Linked DNA regions of Lepisosteus oculatus. The protein of the gene in region 2 binds, or shares a complex with, the protein of the main gene of each other region. Links are inferred from orthologs where the notes say so. Each region holds a gene or a part of one and is shown on either strand. Other genes may lie near its edges.

Region 1 (3,751 bases), on a different chromosome or scaffold from region 2:
AAAAGGAAAAAATAAAGGTGTGCTCAGACGACAGGGGATTTAAACAGATAATGCCCACCTCAAAATTACAGAACACCCATTGTGCCCTGAATCACATCTGTACTTTACTTTTTATTTATACTAGATTACAGACCAAAGGAGACATTTCTGATTCTCTCCATTTCTCCTGGGTAAGTAAGCAATTCCCACCCCAATGTTGTTTCATTCTCTAAGTCAATATCAATGTACTGCGATATACAGCTGCTCCACCCTCCCCGAGTGTGTCAGAGTGTCAGTGCGCCTCACCGAGGTCCACGGGGTAGATCTGGATGTTGACGTCCAGGATGAGGTCCATCTTGAAGGACTCGCTCTCACAGTGCAATCGAGACACTGAGAAGAAGACAACAGCACTTGTGAAAACTGCCTCTTTCAGAAACAAACACAGTCACGCCAGCCCTGTTTTTAATTTATTGAATCTGCTGATGTTTTTAACCAAGGAGACCTCAAAGGTCTGCTGCTCCACAAATACAGAAGCAAGTTTAGCGTCATCTGCCTTTCAGACTCTCCATATGGGACACCGTACCTCACCCCAATCAGTCTTTCTCACCTCTGTCAAATTTCTTCCCATCTGGGTCAATGTCCTTCACATCGAATATGTCCTCAAACAGGATTCCCGACATGTCCCACCTGGTGACACAGTGGTGATTTAGAAAAGTACAAATTGGAGAGCACAGCACAGTGATATTATCCTCTCCACCCCGTGTGGCACAGTGACATTCTATAAACTATACAAGGCAGTGGGCATAACTACATGCTTTACAACAAAGATACACTCTTTTTACAAACCATAAAGATCTGCTACTTATGAGTGTGCAAAACCTGTACAAATCCAAGCTACAGTATACCAAAAACTGAAACAAATCCAAGATTACTTAGAGAGTGAGGTCAAAAGTTACAGAATCAATCTTTTTTGTACATTTTAAGACATTATGAAACAGGCCCACCGCAGAGTTTTAAAATGACACCAAAATCCTGTTTCTGTGCCAATAACAGAGGTAGCCTTGACTATGTAAAGTGAACAGCACATCACTCATACCTAATACTTCCATTGTAACCATTTCACCCAACACGAATACATGCAAAATACAACTGAAATCAAAGGTGAACTAAATTGTCTTTCTTGATTGGTTTCATGTGGAATGACCCGTGTAATGTATTAACAAAATACAGAAACAACTAGGCCTACAAGTACAGTTATATTACAAAGTAGGGTTAATGACTTTTGGATGTCAGAGAAGCATAACACACTGACTGTCTACAGCAATTCAATCTAGAAAGTACTATCCCTAACAATTTTGCAGATTCAGTGTGTTCCATTGGAAATGTCCCTGCTATACACATGCAAAATGCATCCATCCCAACAGCTATTTCCTGTAACGCTCAGTGAACAGAACAGGGGGAAACAACTGGAACCCGGATAAAAGTCAAATGGGCACAGGGGTTCATGTGATGCCTGGCTTAGAAAGAACTGTACTAGAAAACATTCTTTACACACCTTCCTCAAGTTTGGAATGGGCTACAAGGATGCTGAATTCTGAAGACAGGACCACTGGGAGATTATCAGTGCTGAATGTTCACAACTGACTAGTGGTTCCACAGTCATTGGTGAGCATTAAACTACTTAATTTTTAAACAATTTCTGTAATCCTAACAGGCTAACCTAGGCCTTTGAAACAAAAGCACTTAATTCAGAGCTGGTCACTGCGCAGCCCTTCAATTCCTCCTCACTGTACAATTTGTCTACAACACACTGCTTAAGTACTGAATTGACGATATAACAATTATGGAGATGGTGTCAAAGGATGTAATTGGAGTGAATTGCAAAGGTCGCAGCTTGTGCAGCCCTATCTTAGTGTATAAGAAAAATGACCACCAGCTGACCTGCTATTTTCGTTATCTTTTCTTCCTGTTCTTACACAAATACATAAATGAATACCGTTTCACTTCTGTCAGTATTTCAGCCTGTTAACAAGATCGAGGAGAAGGTGGCTCATATCAGTTGCATCCTGGAACTAAGGCAAAACAAGATCAAACTACAGATTCTAGATACAGAGTCCGTCCTCCGAGCAAACCGCTATCGGAGAAGCGAATCGGATATTACGTACAGACTTTTAACGCGCGTTAATAACATGATTGAATGAACATGAACAACTATTGAGTTATAGAGACTACTCAATTACTACTTCACTCGATTCAATGAAAACAGTTGCACTTACTCTGTCTCCCTCGGTGCTACGAGCCACAATAAGCTGTTTAATTCACACCAGTTGGCAGTCTAACAAATAAATCAATCCAAGTTTTTTTTGTCTGCGAAAACTTCTAATTCATCAGTACAGAATCGCAACGCGCGGATTCACAGCATGCTCAACCTCCAACCTCTGACCCTCAGTCTGAACGTCACACTTACTACTTCCGGAATCATGGACCAACAGAACGGATGTTTCAATTTCGAGTACCGAGATTTAAAATTAATATAGATGACAAATGTGTTTTTTGTGACAATAGCCCTGAAACTATTCAGCATTTGTTTTGGTTATGTCCCAGGGTAAAAATGTTCTGGACTAAGTTGCAGAATTATATTAAAAAAGAGACCAATATTGATATTTCTTTTGTTGAAAAAGATATTATGTTAAGTTTCAGCCCCAGTGAAAACAATATAAAATTTCGTTTGTAATAAATTTAATTATTATACTGGCACGTTATCACATACATAAAATGAAATGGTCTGGGAGATACCCTGTGTTTGAGTATTTTAAAATGGAAGTAAAGGGGTATTTGCAGACTATTTCGAAATGCAAAAATATGAAAGCGGTGCTGGCATTAATTGTATTTAATTTGTTTAATCTTTTTTCATAACTTGAATTTTATGTAGTAGTATGTACCCCTGACGATATTCTTGTTTTGAATTGACATATGTACTCTTGTTTGTATTGTAATTTTTGTTCTTTTGTTAAGCATAAATAAATAAAAATTCGAGCACCGTGTCCATGGAGACGGTGATGCGTATATGTACGGCAGGCGAGAAGTGAAGCAAATGTGATTGAAGACGATACTGTACGATACTCTGATTATTTGCACATTATGTCCGGACAATTAAAGCAATTAAAAAAACTAACAAAATATGTGTAATGTTAATGACACGTGATTTATTTTAACGCAAGATTGTAAAAAATCTGGAAGTAATTTAATTTAGACTACTTTGATAATTATTACTCCTTTATTTTGTTCTTAGTTTTAAACCAAAATCTTGTTATTGTAGCTGTAAAGATTTCCAAGTTCCATGAAGTGCCTAAGCATTGTTTGATATTCTGGATTGATGTGAATGTTTGTGAATGCAATCTGAGATGATTGCTTTTGAAAAAGCAATATTTATTTGTTGTCATTACATAATGTGAGCACATTTGTGAGCATCAAAGGTTCAATTTATTTCACCACGTAAAATGTTTGTGCGGTTAATTTTAATAGCCTGGGAAAAAAGCAGCAGACAAAATAAATTGCTGTTATTATTAATAATTTATTTTGACTACTGCATTAGTAATATTAAAAAACACTGTTTAATTAATAATTGCTTACACTTATATAGCGCTTTTCTGGACACTCCACTCAAAGCGCTTTACAGGTAATGGGGGACTCCCCTCCACCACGACCAATGTGCAGCATCCACCTGGATAAATAAGTGTAACAAATACGCCTCTGCGCATTACAGGGATGT
Region 2 (3,751 bases):
TTAGTTATAGCACATTAGGAGCTGCTAACCAATGCTTCCTTCCTCAGTTAAGGGCATGTTGCAGTTATCTCTTCTTTCCAGCTACTCCATGCTCTTGACTCAAGAGTCCAGATGTAAATAACAAAACATACCCATGTGGTTAATGTAGAGTTCACTGGGATCAGAGGAATCTTTGCTAGCTCTTGGATTTCTGGTGCACTTGATCTTTAGTTGCAGTTGAATTGTGTCAATATCTGTGCCTTCTTCATCCCCTGTGCAAACATATGAAAACAGTTTCCACATCATTTCTCTCAGGATAAAATGCAGCTTGTACTGAGAGACGGCTGTAACTTCCACTACAGAGGCCAACGATGATTCTGCTCACCTGCATTCCGGTACTCAAAAAGACGAGGGTCTGCTTTGATGGGGATCAGTCCCAGTCGATGTGCCAGAATCTCATCCTGGACAATGGATGTGTTGTTGTACACAAACACTTTCTCTATAGCCATCGTGGGAACCTTAGCAAAGACAGCATTACAGAATTAAGTAATAGGTTTATTCCATGCTGAAAAAAAGAAGAAAGAGAACACAACGTTTCGGCCGTGGAGCCTTCTTCAGGTGTCAGTCTTAATTACAGAATTAAGCCTGGGCTATTCCAAGCAATGGGTCAGGTTTTTTCAGATAACTGAAAATAAGCACTCTGCAACAACACCCACAGCCTGAAACAGGTTTTCACGAAACTATCTTGAGCCACCATGAAGTGTGCATTTAAATTTGCAGCTACGGTCACCTTAAGGTTTTATTTTAATATTACTTTTTATTTTCCTGTAAGTACATCATACAAGCTAAGGAATATTCAACAGTCATTGGTCCACACAATTCAAAAAGAAAATAGACTTAAGTAGAATTTACCAGCTAAAAAGATATACGTAGAATAGGAAAAATTATAATAGTACACATTTTATTTTATTTTTTTTTAATTGAGAGCCTGTTATTTTCGGGCGATATTTACCTCTGCTAGTAAGATTCGACGGAATGCATTAGCGATAGCAGCGTCAATGCCCACCATGTCGAACTCCAGCGTATTTTCATCCATTCGAATCACGTCGATTCTAAACTTCTGTAAAATAAAAATACTCGCGTTGCTTGAAACACATGATAAACAAAAGCGCAGGGAACCTCTTCCATGAGCAACAGCTACTGACAGCAAAGATTACAGCCGAGTTTTATCTTTACCTCTTCAAATTTTTTCCGGTTCCAGGTGTCATCGTACCCGGGATAATTACCAGGGAAGTCTGTCGTATGAACCTTTGAAGAAAAGACATTTAATTACCCCTTATCCCAAAACAAGTTATGTATTTTACAACACGCTTTACATTGTAAGAGAGAAATTGTAAACGAGTCTGCCTCATAAACAGTGTGCGTATCTGGAAAAGCGGTTACTTAACTGTCGTCGGCATAGAATTGTACACATGACACAACAAACTTTCTTACGACAATAATAATACGTTTTTATTTGTACTATCTCATAGCCTATGAGGAACCAGCATCTCTCCACCACCTAGAAACAAGCACTCACATTTCGGACCCCAAACTCGCCCAGAATCACACGATCGCGAATCTCTTCCACGTTGCTCCTGGGCGCCGCCATTTCTGCACACTGTTGATTTTCCTGTTCTTCAACGTCATTTCCGCTCATCGAGCTGTGCTTTGCAATAAAAAATATAACTGTCAAGTTGAGAACTCCTGACAATGCAGTTCCGTTATTTAATGATAAACTTTACTTTTATTTAACTGACACTAAATTCTTAAAAAAAGAATCAGTATTGCAATTATATATTATATTATTGTAACTCACAGTACCCTAGTATGTTTTATTTCCTTCATGGTCGAGCTCATGCCAGGAACCCTGCAACTCACACCTGGCAACGAACCCACTGAAACTAAGCAGGAGGTCTTAGCTGTGAGCCTGGTCAGTACCTGGATGGGAGAGCTCCCGGGAAAAACTAAGGCTGCTGCTGGAAGATGTTGTTAGTGGACGCGTGCGTTCCACGGCGGTCATGCACTATCGCCTGCAATAATTAAGATAATTAAGGCATATAAAAGGCGGCTGTTTAATCTGTCTAGCTATTTTTTGTTAATAGTAGCTAATCGAACTCTACTGGAGCTCGTCTAGATGTTTCTTTAAAGAAGGGAGGATAAGGGCTTCGACAGCGTGGCTGGGTAGCTGGTGTCCACACTCCCACAACTCTTTGTGTAAGAACATGCCTATTGCTCTTGATTTGGAGCTAAAAACTGTAGATAGCGCGCCTGACACTTTTCGTTCTGATGCATAGCTCAGCGCTGTTCATTTATATGAAATAAAGCGGAAAAAAGAAGCAGATTTTGCCTATATTTCAGGGGAAACTGCCGGACCTCTTGCAAGCACCAATACAAAAAAAAAAAAAGATAGTTCAAGTAGGTCGCAAAGGAACAATCCCATGCTGTAAAGAGAAGAAAAGAAACACAACGTTTCGGCTGTGGAGCCTTCTTCCGGCGTCAAGGAGAAGAAGGCCCCACATCCGAAACGTTGCGTTTCTTTTCTTCTCTTTCCAGCCCGGGAATAAACCTTCACTTGTTCCTGTGCAAACACACACACACGAAACAAGAGCTGAAGTCACGTTCGCGTCTCGCGAGAGGTCCCGCGAGCTCCACGTCTCCAGGCCTGGGTGTGCTTCCTGGTGGCCGAGAGCGAGCAGCGGCGCCGAGCTGGGGGTCTCGCCGAGCGACTTTTCTCCTGCCTTTGTGCGAGCATATTCAGTCTTAGCATATAAGGGCTCCGTCCCCGCAAGAGTGACAGTCCTGCGTGTCCGAAGATGTCCGCGCCGGGAGGAAATAAGAGCACCAACAGCGAGGCTTGGGGCAGCTTCGATGACAACCTGATTCAGGTAAACAAGAGCGACTCTCTCTCTCTCCTGACACTTCGGAGATAATACCGTCCCTTCTAGTTAAAACACCGCTCCTTCTTTCTACTAGCGCAGCCAGCGTTAGTTAAGACAAAAAAAACAATCGTCTGTACCAGCGATGAACAAAAAGCGTCGCCGAATATCGTAACAAAACGATTAAAAATAAATTCCAGTCACCACTACCCTTTCATCAGCTTTTGTTGTTGTTGTTGTTGTTGTTGTTGTTGTTGTTGTTTTTTGCTGACGTTTTCTACATTCCTGTAAGTCTTCCTATCCTTTTGTTTTCACAAGGTGGAGACGTTTTCACCAGTGTCTTGAGATTGTTGTGTGTTTAGAATTTGCTGCCTTGTGGATAATAGGTGTTGTTTCGGTTGTTTTGAAACGGACTCAGTTTTTGTATTCGCTTTAATCGATGCCTTTTGTGAACAGTTTCATGAATGGCTTGATATTTGGAGAACAGTCCAGTTTTAGGTGAAAGTGCTGGTAGCTCAATAAAATGCCAAATGTCCTGCAATTTTCAGCTCCAGCACGTCTGCTGTAGCTCCTGGGTAGCTCCGCCCAGTAATGTGGTAAGATATTGAGAAACACAACACAAATTGGATTGCTGTAGGAGTACACATGTACAGACTCAGTGGCCACAGCCTGGACATAGAAAGTGGATACAGGCAGACCTGGCTGTCCAGAGAGGACAGGCTCAGAGGCCACAGCCTGGACATAGAAAGTGGATACAGGCAGACCTGGCTGTCCAGAGAGGACAGGCTCAGTGGCCACAGCCTGGACATAGAAAGTGGATACAGGCGGACCTGGCTGTCCAGAGAGGACAGGCT
Region 3 (3,751 bases), about 1.5 Mb from region 2:
AGATAGTGTAGATTCATGTTAATAGCTGTGTGTTCCTCCTTTACACAGCGTATTGAAACACCTGAAGGGAGAAAACATGTCAAAATGTTAAATTCAAGTTACAAAAAACATCCATCCATTTTCCAACTGCTTTTTCCAATTCATGGTCGCAGTAGAGCCTATCCCAGCAAGCAATAGGCACAAGGTAGGATACACCCTGGACAGGATGCCACTCCTTCATAGGGCAAAAACAGACAAAAATGTACACTCACACCAGGGCCAATTTTCTTGATAGCACCACACAGGTAGCATCCCAGGTCCAGAGTTAAACCCCAGCGCTACGAAGCGCCAATGCTGAACACTGCACCACTATCCCACACTACAGAAAACATGTGACATCCTATTCTGCCTCTGTCTGCAACACTGACAGCTCCCTAAAATTTCACCCTGTATCACTGTGCCACGGAACAATTGTTCCTATCAGCAATGAAGGATTAAAACATTTTAAAAAGACTATCTATGCTATTGTGGTGAAGTCCACGAACACACTGCAGTGGCCAAAATGACATTTATTTCCTTTACCCCTTTTCTTCAGTCTTCTGTGTCTGCTGTCCTTGCATATTGTGCTAATTGCTAGTCTCTTGTGCCATTTACACAAAATAAATAAAATGTTTGAAATAAAAGGTTTTCACGGTCTAATTGGGAAATTCAGACATGTGAATCTTACCGTACTGTGTGTAACCTTGGCCCCTGCTCTTCCATTTAGGCCTCACCATTGCAATAGGGAAGTTCCTCCTGGGCATGATCAGCAGTCGAATTACCTTCTCAATTCCATTGATGATAAAATACCCTCCCATTTCCTGTCACACACAGAAGGCGATGTTAGAAACTGAACCGAAGGAACGGATCATGCAGCAAAAGATGTTCACATGTCCATAAAGCAATTCACAACCTCTGCTTCCTCATGATGTGCAATGAGCTCTTTTGGAGACAGACCGTGCAAATTGCAGAGCTTGGACTTCACCATGATTGGCACCCAACCGAGAGACTGCTTGATAATCCCTTTGGGAATGCCATTCACTGACCAGCTGACACCTGCCTTGAAACACAAAGCAAAAGAAAAAAGTAAATATCATCAAAATTGACTGATTATCGCTACTATAAATTCAATACTGAACATTTTAGCAATTATGTATGTTTGCTCTCACATAACACACCATGGTTAAGATAACTATTATTATTATCTATTATAAAACCATATATTTTGAACCAGCTGCATACAAGTTCAATCAATTAACTAAATGCAATGAGGAGTGAAATTAGCCGTTACAGTTGTCTAACTTGTAGTTAAGTTGTCGAAAAATGCAATTTTCACCGTAGTTATGTTAAGTTTACAAAGGACAGTAAAACACCTTTATGAGATACGAATTGCTTTTCCTTATGTGCGTGATTTTTAAGAGCAAGTCAAGGTGACACTTACTACTAATTTCCCTCTGTAGGTGGTGCGCCTACCCCTACATTCTGCAGGGAAAACTCTCAGGTCACGACAGATCGTTCCCTTAGTGACCACCGGGTTGCTGATTGTGACCTCCTCAAATGCCAGGGTAATACGATCATTCTTAAACATGAACTCCAGTGGCGGGATGGCCTAAAAAAGAAAAAGGAAATCAGAAACACATAATAAAAACACCACCTGGATGCACAAGGCTGTTTTTTTTTTTGGTGAAGTCTGACGAAACGTGCTTTGTTAAACACAAAGCAAAGCTTAATGAAAGCTAAGGTTGCTGATGGAAGAGATGATAGCGGGACCAGTAGGGGGCGCTCACCCTGCAGTCTGTGTGGGCCTAATGCCCCTGAACAGTGATGGGGACACTCTACTGTGTCACTATACGGTGACGTCCTTTGGATTAAATGTAAAACCGAAGTCCTGACTCTCTGTGGTCATTAAAAATCCCAGGGCATTTCTTGAAAAGAGTAGGGATTTTGGACAGTATCCTGGCCAAATTCCCCCCCTGACTTTACCTGTCATAGCTTGCTAATCATCCCCATCTCTGAACTGGCTTCATCACTCTGCTCTCCTCCCCACTGATAGCTGATGTGTGGTGAGAGTACTGGCGCACTTTGGCTGCCGTCGCATTATCCAGATGTGGGCTACACATCGCTGGTGGTGATGGGGAGTCCCCATTACCTGCAAATCGCTGTGAGTGGAGTGTCCAGAAAAGCAGTAATATTATAATTAATAATAAACAACCTATTATTTTACTGTTTTGCACAAATGAGGAATATTAAAATACTATCAACCCTGCCCAGTCATTGCTGTTCAGCTCTTGAAATAATTCACTACTTACTTTAAGCACCTGAAAAGTAAGTCAGAAACGTATTGTTTTAGGACTATGACGCTACTGGCTCGCATCTGCCCACACCTTTACCAGTTTGTTAAATTGTATAGTGGTATTTTTAACAAAATAACTGCATTCTTGCACAAGCCCGCCCCACGTGGGATACTCAGCTCTGTAAACACGTGAACCTGGAGTACGGGAAACTAACAGACACCAACCTGCACAACACGACAAAGCCCGTCGGTGACCGCTTGATCAAACGAATCAATGTGCGCTCGGCAAAGCTCTTGCACAGCTGGATGCTGCTCATTTTTAGGAATTCCGAAACCCGGTTCAGTCAAGTTCTTCAGACTCGGACCGGAGCACGGACCACCCCGTCCTAACGTGGACTCCATATTTAATGGCAGCGGAAGCAGCCGGAAGCACCACAGAGTTTCCTTGACTCAGATTCGATCGGTTTGCTCTTGCTGTTGCTGTTGGTCCTCCAAAGGGCTGTTTGCTCGGGGAGCTATAGCATAGCTCGTATCTCCTTAGGTCCCTTAGACACCCGCGGTTCTCTAGTATGAGAATGTGTGCTTCGGGATTTAGACTTTATCTGAGAATAAAACTGCAATGGGTTCATATGGACCTTGCTGTATGAACGTACTGTATGAAACTGAATACCTTTAGAGAGGTCCAACGAGCGACAAGCGCCGGAGCATCATGTTTAAAGGTTGGGAGCGCAACTAGGCGTTGTTTGTCATGTTTGAAGTCATGGTGGGCAGCTGCGTCAGCAAGCGTAGGCTGCAAAGGAACAAGTAATAGGTTTATTCCACGCTGAAAAGAGAAGAAAGAAAATGCACACGTCACATCTGAAGAAGGCTCCACTGCCGAAACGTTGTGTTTTCTTCTTCTTTTTTAAGCATGGAATAAACTATTACTTGTTCCTTTGTATGTTTGAAGTCATGTGATTATGAACGTGATATGAGCTTTGCTAACACGTGTATAATGTAGTATGTGACTGTAATCCTACCAGAGGTTTGTTTGTTTAAGTCCCCCTGCAGAGATGTTGTCAGTGAGCTGAAGAGAAAAATCCATCTACAATATATACAAGGCATATCATTTTATTTATACCTGTAACTTTATTGTAACTGTGCAAGAAGCTGGCCACATTGCATATCATTGCATAATAACTCCCAGTTCTCTTTTTATATTCCATCAAACCTGAGACAGGCACTGATACTGCAGTAAGCATGGTTAGGACACAGTACTGGAACAACGGTGGAGGGCAAAAACGTGTGCTCTCAACACATATGAAATATAAAAGATCCTATCTCAAAAGATGTTTCAATTTGTCACAATCATGTCATTACCCCCCCCCCACCTCCACACACACACAGTATTGTCAAAATATTATACTGTATATCGTGCTCTCCAAACATTGAGACAGCAAA

What was found.
Region 1: polr1c (region 2) and polr2h share a complex: the UniProt entries of both Homo sapiens proteins name them as parts of the pol I pre-initiation complex. The link is inferred for Lepisosteus oculatus from reciprocal best matches to the Homo sapiens genes POLR1C and POLR2H.
Region 3: the proteins of polr1c (region 2) and polr1b are in contact, whole or in part, in a cryo-EM structure (PDB 7OBA), measured with the Homo sapiens proteins. The link is inferred for Lepisosteus oculatus from reciprocal best matches to the Homo sapiens genes POLR1C and POLR1B. Residues at the interface, in NP_976035.1 of Homo sapiens: Ala70, Asn74, Arg77, Arg78, Leu81, Ala82, Gln102, Asp103, Glu104, Ile105, His108, Leu112, Lys220, Asp221, His222, Ala223, Thr230, Ser232, Tyr233, Arg234, Leu235, Asp281, Thr282, Phe283, Ser284, Glu286, Arg289, Arg301; in NP_061887.2 of Homo sapiens: Arg713, Gln715, Lys761, Ala762, Glu765, Arg766, Gly767, His770, Tyr774, Gly816, Val848, Arg872, Pro874, Glu900, Asp901, Phe904, Glu906, Gly908, Lys967, Gly970, Tyr971, Asn972, Phe973, Tyr974, Arg978, Tyr980, Ser981, Gly982, Ile983, Ser984.

What each region holds. Positions count from the first base shown.
Region 1 is NC_090708.1:19,016,520-19,020,270, forward strand, and holds the start of polr2h (DNA-directed RNA polymerases I, II, and III subunit RPABC3), read right to left. Parts: upstream 2,439-3,751; 5' UTR 2,256-2,438; intron 667-2,255; 5' UTR 660-666; coding exon 587-659; intron 370-586; coding exon 286-369; intron 1-285. UniProt on the Homo sapiens protein: DNA-dependent RNA polymerase catalyzes the transcription of DNA into RNA using the four ribonucleoside triphosphates as substrates.
Region 2 is NC_090712.1:17,543,666-17,547,416, forward strand, and holds the start of polr1c (DNA-directed RNA polymerases I and III subunit RPAC1), read right to left. Parts: upstream 2,495-3,751; 5' UTR 1,960-2,494; intron 1,688-1,959; 5' UTR 1,679-1,687; coding exon 1,559-1,678; intron 1,288-1,558; coding exon 1,216-1,287; intron 1,100-1,215; coding exon 992-1,099; intron 498-991; coding exon 365-497; intron 252-364; coding exon 132-251; intron 1-131. Other genes in the region: protein YIPF3, read left to right, coding at 2,835-2,906. UniProt on the Homo sapiens protein: DNA-dependent RNA polymerase catalyzes the transcription of DNA into RNA using the four ribonucleoside triphosphates as substrates.
Region 3 is NC_090712.1:16,003,867-16,007,617, reverse strand, and holds the start of polr1b (DNA-directed RNA polymerase I subunit RPA2), read right to left. Parts: upstream 2,740-3,751; 5' UTR 2,714-2,739; coding exon 2,537-2,713; intron 1,628-2,536; coding exon 1,460-1,627; intron 1,079-1,459; coding exon 932-1,078; intron 840-931; coding exon 707-839; intron 62-706; coding exon 1-61. UniProt on the Homo sapiens protein: Catalytic core component of RNA polymerase I (Pol I), a DNA-dependent RNA polymerase which synthesizes ribosomal RNA precursors using the four ribonucleoside triphosphates as substrates.